2 linked regions of the Xenopus tropicalis genome follow. The protein of the gene in region 2 interacts with the protein of the main gene of each other region in a pairwise test. Links are inferred from orthologs where the notes say so. Each region holds a gene or a part of one and is shown on either strand. Other genes may lie near its edges.

The links. The genes of interacting proteins can lie anywhere in the genome.
Region 1: the proteins of pex6 (region 2) and pex26 come close enough for resonance energy transfer, tested with the Homo sapiens proteins (2 studies listed by BioGRID). The link is inferred for Xenopus tropicalis from reciprocal best matches to the Homo sapiens genes PEX6 and PEX26.

Annotation. Positions count from the first base shown.
Region 1 is NC_030679.2:8,464,485-8,471,175, reverse strand, and holds the start of pex26 (peroxisome assembly protein 26), read right to left. Parts: upstream 4,324-6,691; 5' UTR 4,292-4,323; coding exon 4,251-4,291; exon of another isoform or gene 4,241-4,250; intron 4,042-4,240; coding exon 3,829-4,041; intron 3,054-3,828; coding exon 2,913-3,053; intron 2,607-2,912; coding exon 2,290-2,606; intron 1,229-2,289; coding exon 1,082-1,228; intron 1-1,081. UniProt on the Homo sapiens protein: Peroxisomal docking factor that anchors PEX1 and PEX6 to peroxisome membranes. PEX26 is therefore required for the formation of the PEX1-PEX6 AAA ATPase complex, a complex that mediates the extraction of the PEX5 receptor from peroxisomal membrane.
Region 2 is NC_030681.2:308,127-314,933, forward strand, and holds the start of pex6 (peroxisome biogenesis factor 6), read right to left. Parts: upstream 4,342-6,807; 5' UTR 4,255-4,341; coding exon 3,634-4,254; intron 662-3,633; coding exon 510-661; intron 233-509; coding exon 149-232; intron 72-148; coding exon 1-71. Other genes in the region: mea1 (male-enhanced antigen 1), read right to left, coding at 6,776-6,807. UniProt on the Homo sapiens protein: Component of the PEX1-PEX6 AAA ATPase complex, a protein dislocase complex that mediates the ATP-dependent extraction of the PEX5 receptor from peroxisomal membranes, an essential step for PEX5 recycling.

The sequences.
Region 1 (6,691 bases), on a different chromosome or scaffold from region 2:
TTATACAGGGAACTCTGAGTATCACTCATGTATTATAAGGGATAATGTACCCCCTACTGTAAATGATAAGGATATTAGCAGTCACTGAGGGGTTCTGTGCCCATATAAAGGCACAAGGCTGCAGGCTGAGTTATACAGGGAACTCTGAGTATCACTCATGTATTATAAGGGATAATGTACCCCCTACTGTAAATGATAAGGATATTAGCAGTCACTGAGGGGTTCTGTGCCCATATAAAGGCACAAGGCTGCAGGCTGAGTTATACAGGGAACTCTGAGTATCACTCATGTATTATAAGGGATAATGTACCCCCTACTGTAAATGATAAGGATATTAGCAGTCACTGAGGGGTTCTGTGCCCCCCATATAAAGGCACAAGGCTGCAGGCTGAGTTATACAGGGAACTCTGAGTATCACTCATGTATTATAAGGGATAATGTACCCCTACTGTAAATGATAAGGATATTAGCAGTCACTGAGGGGTTCTGTGCCCATATAAAGGCACAAGGCTGCAGGCTGAGTTATACAGGGAACTCTGAGTATCACTCATGTATTATAAGGGATAATGTACCCCTACTGTAAATGATAAGGATATTAGCAGTCACTGAGGGGTTCTGTGCCCATATAAAGGCACAAGGCTGCAGGCTGAGTTATACAGGGAACTCTGAGTATCACTCATGTATTATAAGGGATGATGTACCCCCTACTGTAAATGATAAGGATATTAGCAGTCACTGAGGGGTTCTGTGACCATATAAAGGCACAAGGCTGTTTTATACAGGTCAATGAACAACATGTAACAAAGTACATAATTAAGTACTAGATAAAACTGACGCATCATAGTTTATAAGAATATCTATTGCAGAATTGCCAAGGGTCCGGTATAATTTATAGCTATTAGAATTCCTTCACCAGGCCCAATTTGTCAATTACCACAAACATGTTAAAGGGTCACACCTCCTGCGCTCCATGAAAATATACCAAACCAGTTTATCAGCCCGTAAGCTGATATGAGCGAAAATGTATGGCTCAGACATCCGTTAATACAATCAGATGGTTCTCCGGACAATAACGACTTACCCGGGTCCAATCGCAGTAGAATAATAGTGATGAGTAAAACAGCGAGGGCTGCATTCCGGAAAGGGGTCCTACGTATTATTCCTGCAATCATACCCAGAGCCCTTAACAGCAGATGGGCCACATTTTGGATTCTTGTCTGTACCTTACCTGCAACGATAGAAAGGATTAGTTATAAAAGTCTCAGTTGCGAAAAAAGACTGGGTTGGGTTTGTTTACACTGGAGAAGAGGCGCTTAAGGGGGGACATGATAACTATGTATAAATATATAAGGGGATCATATAATAACCTCTCTAATGCTTTATTTACCAGTAGGGCCTTCCAACGGACACGAGGGCACCCACTCCGTTTAGAAGAAGGGAGTGGGTGTCTTTTTTCAATCTAACTTACTATGTTACTATTATTATACATGATGGGATGGTGGTACACTTGGGCAGGTTAGAAAGGCAACAATGGGCAACCAGCAGCCCACCCTCCCCACCACCCTATGGCTTCGCCTATGGGCACCATTATTCAGGTCAAACATTTGCTTTTCAGAGCTTGCAACCATCTATGTGAACAGGACTGGGAAATGCCCTAGCCTACCCACCGATTCACTGCTGCCCAGCAATAAACGGGTTTAAATACTCATTCAAAATTGCACAGTCTCTTAAGGTGCCCATACACAGGCCGATTGTAGCTGCCGATATGGACCGATTCGGCAGGTTATCGGCCCGTGTAGGGGAAACAACATCTGGCCTGCCTGAACGACATCTGGCCTGCCTGACCAACATCTGGCCTGCCTGACCAACATCTGGCCTGCCTGACCAACATCTGGCCTGCCTGACCAACATCTGGCCTGAAATCGGGCAGATATCGATCGGGCAGGTTAAAAAATTTAGTCAGATCGGGGACCGCATCGGCTCGTTGATGCGGTCCCCGAACTAACTGCGCCTATTCCAGTCGTTATAATTTGATTGTTTGGCCCCAGGGCCAAACAACTGAATTAGCTTAATTCACCCGATATTACCCACCTGTAGGTGGGGATATTGGGAGAAGATCTGCTCGCTTGGCGACCTTGCCAGGTGAGCGGATCTTTACGTGTATGGCCACCTATCTGTGTTTTTACGACCCAACTGCTGCAATTGTAGACTCTTCTACAGACAGTCTGCCGGGGCTGCAGTGCAAGTGTTCACAGTATGGGTGGATCTGATTGGCAGGAATGTTCATACCAGTTCGTCCCATTGACTCTGATTGGCTGTGCTCGTCCCTCTCTGTAGCGGCAGCAGCTTCATACTCTTCCCACTGTCTCCTGTGTTCGCTCACAAGCGCCAAGGCTATGTGCCTCTGCTTTTCCGTGAATACATCCGAATCCTGAGCCAGCACTTCAGCATCAGAAAACAGCCCCAGGGGTAGTAGTATGTGCAGCAGATGGAGCTCTGCAACCCTGCAGCAGTTTGGCAGTAGCCGATTGGCTTGGACTTGCAACCAATCACTACTTACTTCCAGCATAACTTGTGGCTGCTTTACCTTCCCATACAACAAAATGCTAAAAAAAAAAAAAAAGAGAATACAATGAAAATATACAGACGTTTAGGGATCAGGGGGCAGTATATACATTTAATATCAGTGTAGGCACAAGGGATATTAATGTATTAATGCCCCCTACCTGTATGTTTCTGGACTGGCGGAAGAAGCCCCTCAAAACTACATGGCAAGCTCAATTTATTTAGTGTTAAAAGTACAATCTAAACCAAGACCCCAATTCTACCATGATGCAGACTGCAATCTAAAGTCTACGACAAAAGCAGCGCTTATAGTAAGGAAAGGCTTGATATATGATATACTCACTCACCACATCTCCATAATATTGTAAGGCATCTCCTGTGGGGTTTGGTAATACTGAATTAGCCAAGGAAGCACTTCCCTCCATCTTCCCAACTCAACCAGACACTGAATCGCAACGACACAGAGAGACGTCTTCACCTGCTCACACCTCAAGGATAAAGGACACGTCAGACTGAACATTAAATAATAAACAAATCAAAAACTGCAAATAGTCTCAGAACAAAACTGTTTACAGCATTCTAAAAGTTAAGGTAAAGGTAAACTCCTTGAAGCTAAGGGGGGGCCCAGCCTGAAGGCCAGTTAGGGGGGGATTTGGGGTGAGTGCTTATTTGTGCCCTGGGTACCCCTGGAACTATAGCAGGGTGACTGTTACCCCAATGTTTCTATATATCTGTAACCTTGTTATGGGCTAAGGGGGCCCAGCCTGAAGGCCAGTTAGGGGGGGATTTGGGGTGAGTGCTTATTTGTGCCCTGGGTACCCCTGGAACTATAGCAGGGTGACTGTTACCCCAGTGTTTCTATATATCTGTAACCTTGTTATGGTCTAAGGGGGCCCAGCCTGAAGGCCAGTTAGGGGGGAGATTTGGGGTGAGTGCTTATTTGTGCCCTGGGTACCCCTGGAACTATAGCAGGGTGACTGTTACCCCAATGTTTCTATATATCTGTAACCTTGTTATGGGCTAAGGGGGCCCAGCCTGAAGGCCAGTTAGGGGGGGATTTGGGGTGAGTGCTTATTTGTGCCCTGGGTACCCCTGGAACTATAGCGGGGTGACTGTTACCCCAATGTTTCTATATATCTGTAACCTTGTTATGGGCTAAGGGGGCCCAACCTGAAGGCCAGTTAGGGGGAGATTTGGGGTGAGTGCTTCCCCATTACTTCTATACACTTTGTGATGAGAGAAAGGGAACTCAAAGCAACTCACTTTGCATCTGTTGGTTCAGCAGACAGGATCTGTAGGCCTCTCTCACAGATTCCAAGGGAAGCTGCAAAGTTTCTCTCCAGCACCAGCAGGTCGGCAGCTGCGTCCAACAGCGGCACGGCAGGGGGGGTCCCAGACAATGACAGATGCGACCAATCCCACATAGCGCTTAGCGAACAGCTGGACACATTTTCTGCAACTGCCATGGGGTTCCTGCTAACAAGGGAAGAGAACATGTACAATTTAATATTGCGTACGAAAGAGAGTTTTTTTTAGTGTCTTTACGTCTAAGCCCCCACACTTTACTGTAACCAACCTTCCCTGCCCTGCAATATGTCCTCCCCCTAAATAATAATACACTTCCTGCACACAGTTATTACAGGTTAAAGAGCACAGACTGGACAGACAGCAAAACCTTATCTCACTGAATTAGTCCCAGAACAGAACAGCATTCCCCCCTTGCCATAAACACAACATAGGTCCACCCCTCACCCACAATTCCACTATTACAACTGCACCTTTCTGACATTTACACACGGACAGGTGGAACGCATAAGCTCCACAGACCGGAAGTTCTGACTGTGACACACTGACAGGTGGAACGCATAAGCTCCACAGACCGGAAGTTCTAGCTCAATGCCTGCTAAGGATCTGATTGGGTCGCAGAACCATGTGACAGTATCCTTGCAAACGATAGGCCGAGTACTTCGTATGGAGTTGTGGCAAAGACACAGAGGGATAGCAGTGTAGCAGGGGCAGTTGTGTGGGGAAGGGGAGGGGCCCTTACTGAAAGGAAAACTTAATATCTAAATAAAACAATATACTGCTTTGTTTTTTAAAGTGTGTATGAGGCAGAGCCTTGTGTTTTAGCTGGTGCCATGCTATGGCTGGGTCTGCCATTCTGCCAATCTCTATTGTGCCATACCCTTCTCCTGTTGTCAGGGAGAAAGAGGGGGTACTATTGTGTGGGGGCAGGTTTGGCCCAAACAATTGCCACCTTAGGTGCAGGTCAGCTTTGCCCACATATAGTTCACTGAATCGGTACTGTACAGGTTCAATTTAATTTGTTTCAGGCTCTGCTATTGATCTTCCAAACTGCTCCCTTGTTGCTAGGGTAATCAAGTCCTAACAACCACATAGCAATTGGTCTTCATTTTGTATTCCTTATAGTTTTTGAATTATTTGCCTTCTTCTGATTCTTTCCAGTTTTCAAAAGGGGGTCACTGACCCCCAGCAGCCAAAAACTATTGTTCTGGTTTTACAATTTTATTGTCTTATTAGTTATTGTTTAGCCCATTTCCTATTCATATCCCTCCCATTCAAACCCCTGCCTGGTTGCTAGGTTCATTTGGACCCTAGCAACCAGATACCTGTTGGAGATCTGCTGAACAAAAAGCTAAATAATACAAAAACCACAAATAATAAAAAAAAGAAGACCAAATACAGGTATGGGATCCCTTATCCGGAAACCCGTTATCCAGAAAGTTCCGAATTTAAGGCCATCTCCCATAGACTCCATTATTACCAAATAGTTCTAATTTTTAAAAATGTATTAATAAAACAGTAACTTGTACTTGATCCCAACTAAGATATAATTACTCCTTATTGGGGGCAGAACAGCCCTATTGGGTTTATTTAATGGTTAAATGATTCCCTTTTCTCTGTAATAATAAAACAGTACCTGTACTTGATCCCAACTAAGATATAATTACCCCTTATTGGGGGCAGAACAGCCCTATTGGGTTTATTTAATGGTTAAATGATTCCCTTTTCTCTGTAATAATAAAACAGTACCTGTACTTGATCCCAACTAAGATATAATTACCCCTTATTGGGGGCAGAACAGCCCTATTGGGTTTATTTCATGGTTAAATGATTCCCTTTTCTCTGTAATAATAAAACAGTACCTGTACTTGATCCCAACTAAGATATAATTACCCCTTATTGGGGCAGAACAGCCCTATTGGGTTTATTTCATGGTTAAATGATTCCCTTTTCTCTGTAATAATAAAACAGTACCTGTACTTGATCCCAACTAAGATATAATTACCCCTTATTGGGGCAGAACAGCCCTATTGGGTTTATTTCATGGTTAAATGATTCCCTTTTCTCTGTAATAATAAAACAGTACCTGTACTTGATCCCAACTAAGATATAATTACCCCTTATTGGGGCAGAACAGCCCTATTGGGTTTATTTAATGGTTAAATGATTCCCTTTTCTCTGTAATAATAAAACAGTACCTGTACTTGATCCCAACTAAGATATAATTACCCCTTATTGGGGCAGAACAGCCCTATTGGGTTTATTTAATGGTTAAATGATTCCCTTTTCTCTGTAATAATAAAACAGTACCTGTACTTGATCCCAACTAAGATATAATTACCCCTTATTGGGGGCAGAACAGCCCTATTGGGTTTGATTAATGGTTAAATGATTCTGTGTAATAAAAAAAAAAGTACCCGTACTTGATCCCAAATTACGGAACTATCCCTTATCCGGAAAACCCCAGGTCCCAAGCATTCTGGATAATAGGTCCCATACCTGTAGTCTCATGTAGTGTGGTTAATGTAAAGCAATACCCAAAGGGAACCAAATGAATTGATGTTATCTCTCTGCACAGATAATAAGCAAACTAAAGGGACTGTTAATAAGCTGGCTTCTTCTACAGTGATTCAGGAGTCGGAACACACAGAGAGTATAAACAGTCAAAGATACTGTTTAATAGCCATTACATTGACAAATATCTATCAATTCATTGAAAGGTGTAATGAAGGTATATTGGGAAACTGCTTAGAATTACAATATGCAAAGAACACAATGTTTGGGTGGAGTTCCCCTTTAAAACTCACTTTCTTTTACATTC
Region 2 (6,807 bases):
GGTAGGCGGGGCGCTGCTCTTCTCCTGGCCGCCCATCAATCCCAAGCACCTTAAAATAAAGGTCGGGGCACCTGAGGAACACGGAACAGTCCAACTGTAACACTATTACAGATATGGGGTTACAGTGCAGGGAATGAGGGGTACACACCTGCCGGCCCGTCTCGGATTGTTCTGTAAAAACTCCCCATGTGAGAGCGATGAGAGGCACAGAATATCCCCGCGCTGAATGACCCTAGGGGCGGAGCCAGAGAGACAAGCCAATGAGGAACCAGAGAGAGAGAGACATTGCCCAACGGGTTAGTGAGAGTGGCCCCAGGGGAAAGAAAAAGCACTGACTGGCACAGGGGCCACAAGCAGCTGATGGGAGAACCTCATACACATGGCAATTACTGGCCAATCCGGGCAGCCCTTTCATTTCTACTCAACTGTGCGTTTTAATAAGGACCCACTGCTATAACTTCCTCTGCCTGGAGGGGGGGGGATGGGCAGGTACCCCAATAGACACTGACCTGGCAGTTAGGAAGTGGTGGAACAAAGCCTGCCTGTAGGGGGCATCACTGTCGTACGATGGAGACGCCACAATCTGCACACAGAGCTGCTTGGCCAAGGGGGGTCCAACGAGAGCAGAACTGCCTCCCTCCAATGTGTCAGAACAGAACCTCTAAGGAAAAAAATAATGCAATGAGGCCCCTCCCCCTTTTCTCTCTTTCAGCACAAAGCAATGTGCCTAAAGCCACACCTACTAGCCACAGCCCTGCCCCCATATCAAGCATGGCTGCCTTGGTCTCTCTAGTACCCTCCCCTTTTATATACCCAATCTGTTATCTACTATTATTCCTAGATCCCCTCCCATTACTGAGTTATACACAGAATTATACTTGTACCCCTGTATCAGTGGGTTATACCCAATCTCTTATCTACTATTATTCCTAGATCCCTCCCATTACTGATTTATACACAGAATTATACTTGTACCCCTGTATCAGTGGGTTATACCCAATCTGTTATCTACTATTATTCCTAGATCCCCTCCCATTCCTGATTTATACACAGAATTATACTTGTACCCCTGTATCAGTGAGTTATACCCAATCTGTTATCTACTATTATTCCTAGATCCCCTCCCATTCCTGATTTATACACAGAATTATACTTGTACCCCTGTATCAGTGAGTTATACCCAATCTGTTATCTACTATTATTCCTAGATCCCCTCCCATTACTGATTTATACACAGAATTATACTTGTAGCCCTGTAACAGTGAGTTATACCCAATCTGTTATCTACTATTATTCCTAGATCCCTCCCATTACTGATTTATACACAGACCTATACCTGTACCCCTGTATCAGTGGGTTATACCCAATCTGTTATCTGCTATTATTCCTAGATCCCTCCCATTACTGATTTATACACAGAATTATACCTGTACCCCTGTATCATTGGGTTATACCCAATCTGTTATCTACTATTATTCCTAGATCCCTTCTGTATCAGTGAGTTATACCCAATCTGTTATCTTCTATTATTCCTAGATCCCTCTCATTATTGATTTATACACTGAATTATGAGTTATACCCAATCTGTTATCTACTATTATTCCTAGATCCCTCCCATTACTGATTTATACGCAGAATTATGAGTTATACCCAATCTCTTATCTACTATTATTCCTAGATCCCTCCCATTACTGATTTATACGCAGAATTATACTTGTACCCCTGTATCAGTGATTTATACCCAATCTGTTATCTACTATTATTCCTAGATCCCTTCCCATTACTGATTTATACACAGAATTATACTTGTACCCCTGTATCAGTGAGTTATGCCAATCTGTTATCTACTATTATTCCTAGATCCCTCCCCATTACTGATTTATACACTGAATTATACGAGTTATACCCAATCTGTTATTTACTATTATTCCTAGATCCTTCCCCATTACTGATTTATACACTGAATTATACCCAATCTGTTATCTACTATTATTCCTAGATCCCTCCCATTACTGATTTATACACAGAATTATACTTGTAGCCCTGTATCAGTGGGTTATACCCAATCTGTTATCTACTATTATTCCTAGATCCCCTCCCATTACTGATTTATACACAGAATTATACTTGTACCCCTGTATCAGTGTGTTATACCCAATCTGTTATCTACTATTATTCCTAGATCCCTTCCCATTACTGATTTATACACAGAATTATACTTGTACCCCTGTATCAGTGAGTTATACCCAATCTCTTATCTACTATTATTCCTAGATCCCCTCCCATTACTGATTTATACACAGAATTATACTTGTACCCCTGTATCAGTGGGTTATACCCAATCTGTTATCTACTATTATTCCTAGATCCCTTCCCATTACTGATTTATACACAGAATTATACTTGTACCCCTGTATCAGTGAGTTATACCCAATCTCTTATCTACTATTATTCCTAGATCCCCTCCCATTACTGATTTATACACAGAATTATACTTGTACCCCTGTATCAGTGGGTTATACCCAATCTGTTATCTACTATTATTCCTAGATCCCTCCCATTACTGATTTATACACAGACCTATACCTGTACCCCTGTATCAGTGGGTTATACCCAATCTCTTATCTACTATTATTCCTAGATCCCTCCCATTACTGATTTATACACAGACCTATACCTGTACCCCTGTATCAGTGGGTTATACCCAATCTGTTATCTACTATTATTCCTAGATCCCTTCCCATTACTGATTTATACACAGAATTATACTTGTACCCCTGTATCAGTGGGTTATAACCAATCTGTTATCTACTATTATTCCTAGATCCCTTCCCATTACTGATTTATACACAGAATTATACTTGTAGCCCTGTATCAGTGGGTTATACCCAATCTGTTATCTACTATTATTCCTAGATCCCCTCCCATTACTGATTTATACACAGAATTATACTTGTACCCCTGTATCAGTGTGTTATACCCAATCTGTTATCTACTATTATTCCTAGATCCCTCCCCATTACTGATTTATACACTGAATTGAGTTATACCCAATCTGTTATCTACCATTATTCCTAGATCCCTCCCATTACTGATTTATACACAGACCTATACTTGTACCCCTGTATCAGTGGGTTATACCCAATCTGTTATCTATTATTCCTAGATCCCCTCCCATTACTGATTTATACACAGAATTATACTTGTACCCCTGTATCAGTGGGTTATACCCAATCTGTTATCTACTATTATTCCTAGATCCCTTCCCATTACTGATTTATACACAGAATTATACTTGTACCCCTGTATCAGTGGGTTATACCCAATCTGTTATCTACTATTATTCCTAGATCCCCTCCCATTACTGATTTATACACAGAATTATACTTGTAGCCCTGTATCAGTGGGTTATACCCAATCTGTTATCTACTATTATTCCTAGATCCCCTCCCATTACTGATTTATACACAGAATTATACTTGTACCCCTGTATCAGTGAGTTATACCCAATCTGCTATCTACTATTATTCCTAGATCCTGTTTAGTACAACCAATACCCAGAGAAACTAAAGCAATAGGGTAAGTGGGTACAAGCTGCCCCACACGGGGGTATCTGGCACCGGGTGCTCTCACCTGTATGAGAATCTCACTGAGAGGCCGAGTCCGGGGCGCCAGGTTAAAGAGGAGGGGGGCAGAGATGAGGGCAGTGTGGGTGCCAGTGGGGAAGCCATAGGGGAGGGTACTATGGGGGTAGGTGCCAGGGGGGAGGGTACTATGGGGGTAGGTGCCAGGGGGGAGGGTACTATGGGGGTAGGTGCCAGGGGGGAGGGTACTATGGGGGTAGGTGCCAGGGGGGGCAGACAAGTTGCTGAGAAGGTGCCGGTACTTGTCAGGTTGCCCCCAGCAGAACTCAGTAGCCAATATGATGGCGAGGTGCCCCCCCTGCCCCTCCCCCCCCGGCACCGCCCATACCCACACCCACTCCCGGTGGAAGAAGCCCAAGTCCCGCAGTTGGCTCTTAGTGACCCACACAGCCGCCCCCCGATCCACCGGGCCCCCCAACTCCTGCAGCCTCCCTGCCCGCACCATGGCCTCGGCATCTATAGGGGCCACACGGAGCCTGCGGGGCGCAACTTCCCGGGCAAAGCTGGACAGTACGGGAGCCGTGAGGGCCCAGGGTCTCTCCCCCAGCGCCTCCTCTCCCATCATCCTCTGCTGCCCATTCGTCTCCCCCAGCGCCTCCTCTCCCATCATCCTCTGCTGCCCATTCCCCCCCACACAGGCTCCGCCCCCGGCCAGGTACAAAAGTCCATTTACATCCCGCCGGGGGCGGAGTTAGGACTCTCATCCTGCGAGAGTGTGACGTCACCGGGGCGGGGCCGCTTGGGGGGAATGTTCCATGAGTGGAAATGGGGGGAGTCCGGCCCGGGAACCGCCCCTCCCTGTCAGTTTGTTCCTTGTGGCGGGGAATAGTTCCCAGTAACACTGTTCCCTACAGCCCGGGGGGGGGGCTTTAACCCTTCAACTTCACTTCTGTGTCCAATCAGGAGAAAGGGAATTAAAGGAAACCCCTAACCCTGTATTCATTATATGAATAATACCCGGTGCTGGTTTCCCTTTGGGCTAAACATTAACCCTATCTGTACCAATGGCCCCTTTATTGGAGATCCCTATAGATCCTCTCAGGTCCCTGTCTGGGTTTCATATGGGGGGTGGGCGTGTCCTAATGGTCCCTGTAGGAGGGGGAGAGCCAATCACAGCCCTGCACTCACACGAGCACAGACAGGCTTCAGTTCCCTATCAGGTCAGCCTAGCTGCTGATTGGCTCCTATCCTACAGTGCCGCCGCCCCCCTGCACAGTCTGGGAAAGGAGGCAGCAGGAAGTGGCACAGATGGGCGGGGCTAGTGGGGTTTGGGGGGAAAGGAGGCGATAGGAAGTGGAACAGATGGGCGGGGCTAGTGGGGTTTTGGGGGGAAAGGAGGCAACAGGAAGTGGCACAGATGGGCGGGGCTAGTGGGGTTTGGGGGAAAGGAGGCGATAGGAAGTGGAACAGATGGGCGGGGCTAGTGGGGTTTTGGGGGGAAAGGAGGCAACAGGAAGTGGCACAGATGGGCGGGGCTAGTGGAGTTTTGGGGGGAAAGGAGGCGATAGGAAGTGGAACAGATGGGCGGGGCTAGTGGGGTTTTGGGGGGAAAGGAGGCGACAGGAAGTGGCACAGATGGGCGGGGCTAGTGGAGTTTTGGGGGGAAAGGAGGCGGCAGGAAGTGGCACAGATGGGCGGGGCTAGTGGGGTTTGGGGGGAATTTCTCAATAAATCAGCTGGAAACACAACTTTATTTTAAGCACAGTCCTTCTGTATACAGAGGAGTATAATTCCCTGGCACATTATTAACTTGTAGAGGAAATTGCAAGTTGTGCTTCTGACTCTCCTCAGTGACAGCGTGGGATCCTCACAGCAACTCTCAACAGATCTGAAGACAAAGACTGTTCAGTATCAGGGTTTAGGGGGAGGCTACAAACAACTCAGATCTCAGAGGGTTAAACTGTCGGTTCCAACTGTAAGGAACGTAATGAGGAAATGCTGATTTGCAGCAGTCTGTCCCTGCTCGGCAGCTGTCACATGGAACTGGGGGGAGTCTGTATGGGCACTGATGGGGCAGAAATACCCCCATAAAGAACCCACACACTCACCCAGGGCTATAGGCTCATGTAGATTCTGCACCAACTGCAACTCCCACAGCTACTTCCTGGTCTAGCGTCAAGCTCCACCCCCTTAGATTGTAAGCTCACTGGGGCAGGAACTGATGAGAATGTGATAGGGACCTTAGATTGTAAGCTCACTGGGGCAGGGGCTGATGGGAATGTGATAGGGGCCTTAGATTGTAAGCTCACTGGGGCAGGGGCTGATGGGAATGGGATAGGGGCCTTAGATTGTAAGCTCACTGGGGCAGGGGCTGATGGGAATGGGATAGGGACCTTAAATTGTAAGCTCACTGGGGCAGGGGCTGATGGGAATGGGATAGGGGCCTTAGATTGTAAGCTCACTGGGGCAGGGGCTGATGGGAATGGGATAGGGACCTTAGATTGTAAGCTCACTGGGGCAGGGGCTGATGGGAATGGGATAGGGACCTTAGATTGTAAGCTCACTGGGGCAGGGGCTGATGGGAATTGGATAGGGACCTTAGATTGTAAGCTCACTGGGGCAGGGGCTGATGGGAATGGGATAGGGACCTTAGATTGTAAGCTCACTGGGGCAGGGACTGATGGGAATGTGATAGGGACCTTAGATTGTAAGCTCACTGGGATAGGGACTGATGGGAATGGGATAGGGGCCTTAGATTGTAAGCTCACTGGGGCAGGGACTGATGGGAATGGGATAGGGACCTTAGATTGTAAGCTCACTGGGACAGGGGCTGATGGGAATGGGATAGGGACCTTAGATTGTAAGCTCACTGGGGCAGGGGCTGATGGGAATGGGCCGCACAACAGACGAAGGCACTATATATATATATAACAATAAAGCCCCCCCACACACACACACTGACCAGGGTGGGGTTTGTGCACATAACATTTATTGGCTCGGTACTGCGAGGGTTAACCCTGACCCAGTTGCGGTTGGTCGGGGGGAGCCCCCACATAGTGAGAGGAACAAACACCCCATATGGACTGTACCATGCGCTGCCGGGCTGGGGGGGTCCTATTCCCTGCACCAATACACAACCGCCCCAGCCCAAAACGATTGTCCAATAAGAAGAGCCCCAGCCGGGGGGGCAATTATTTCTTGCCAGACGGAGGGGCCGCTGCTC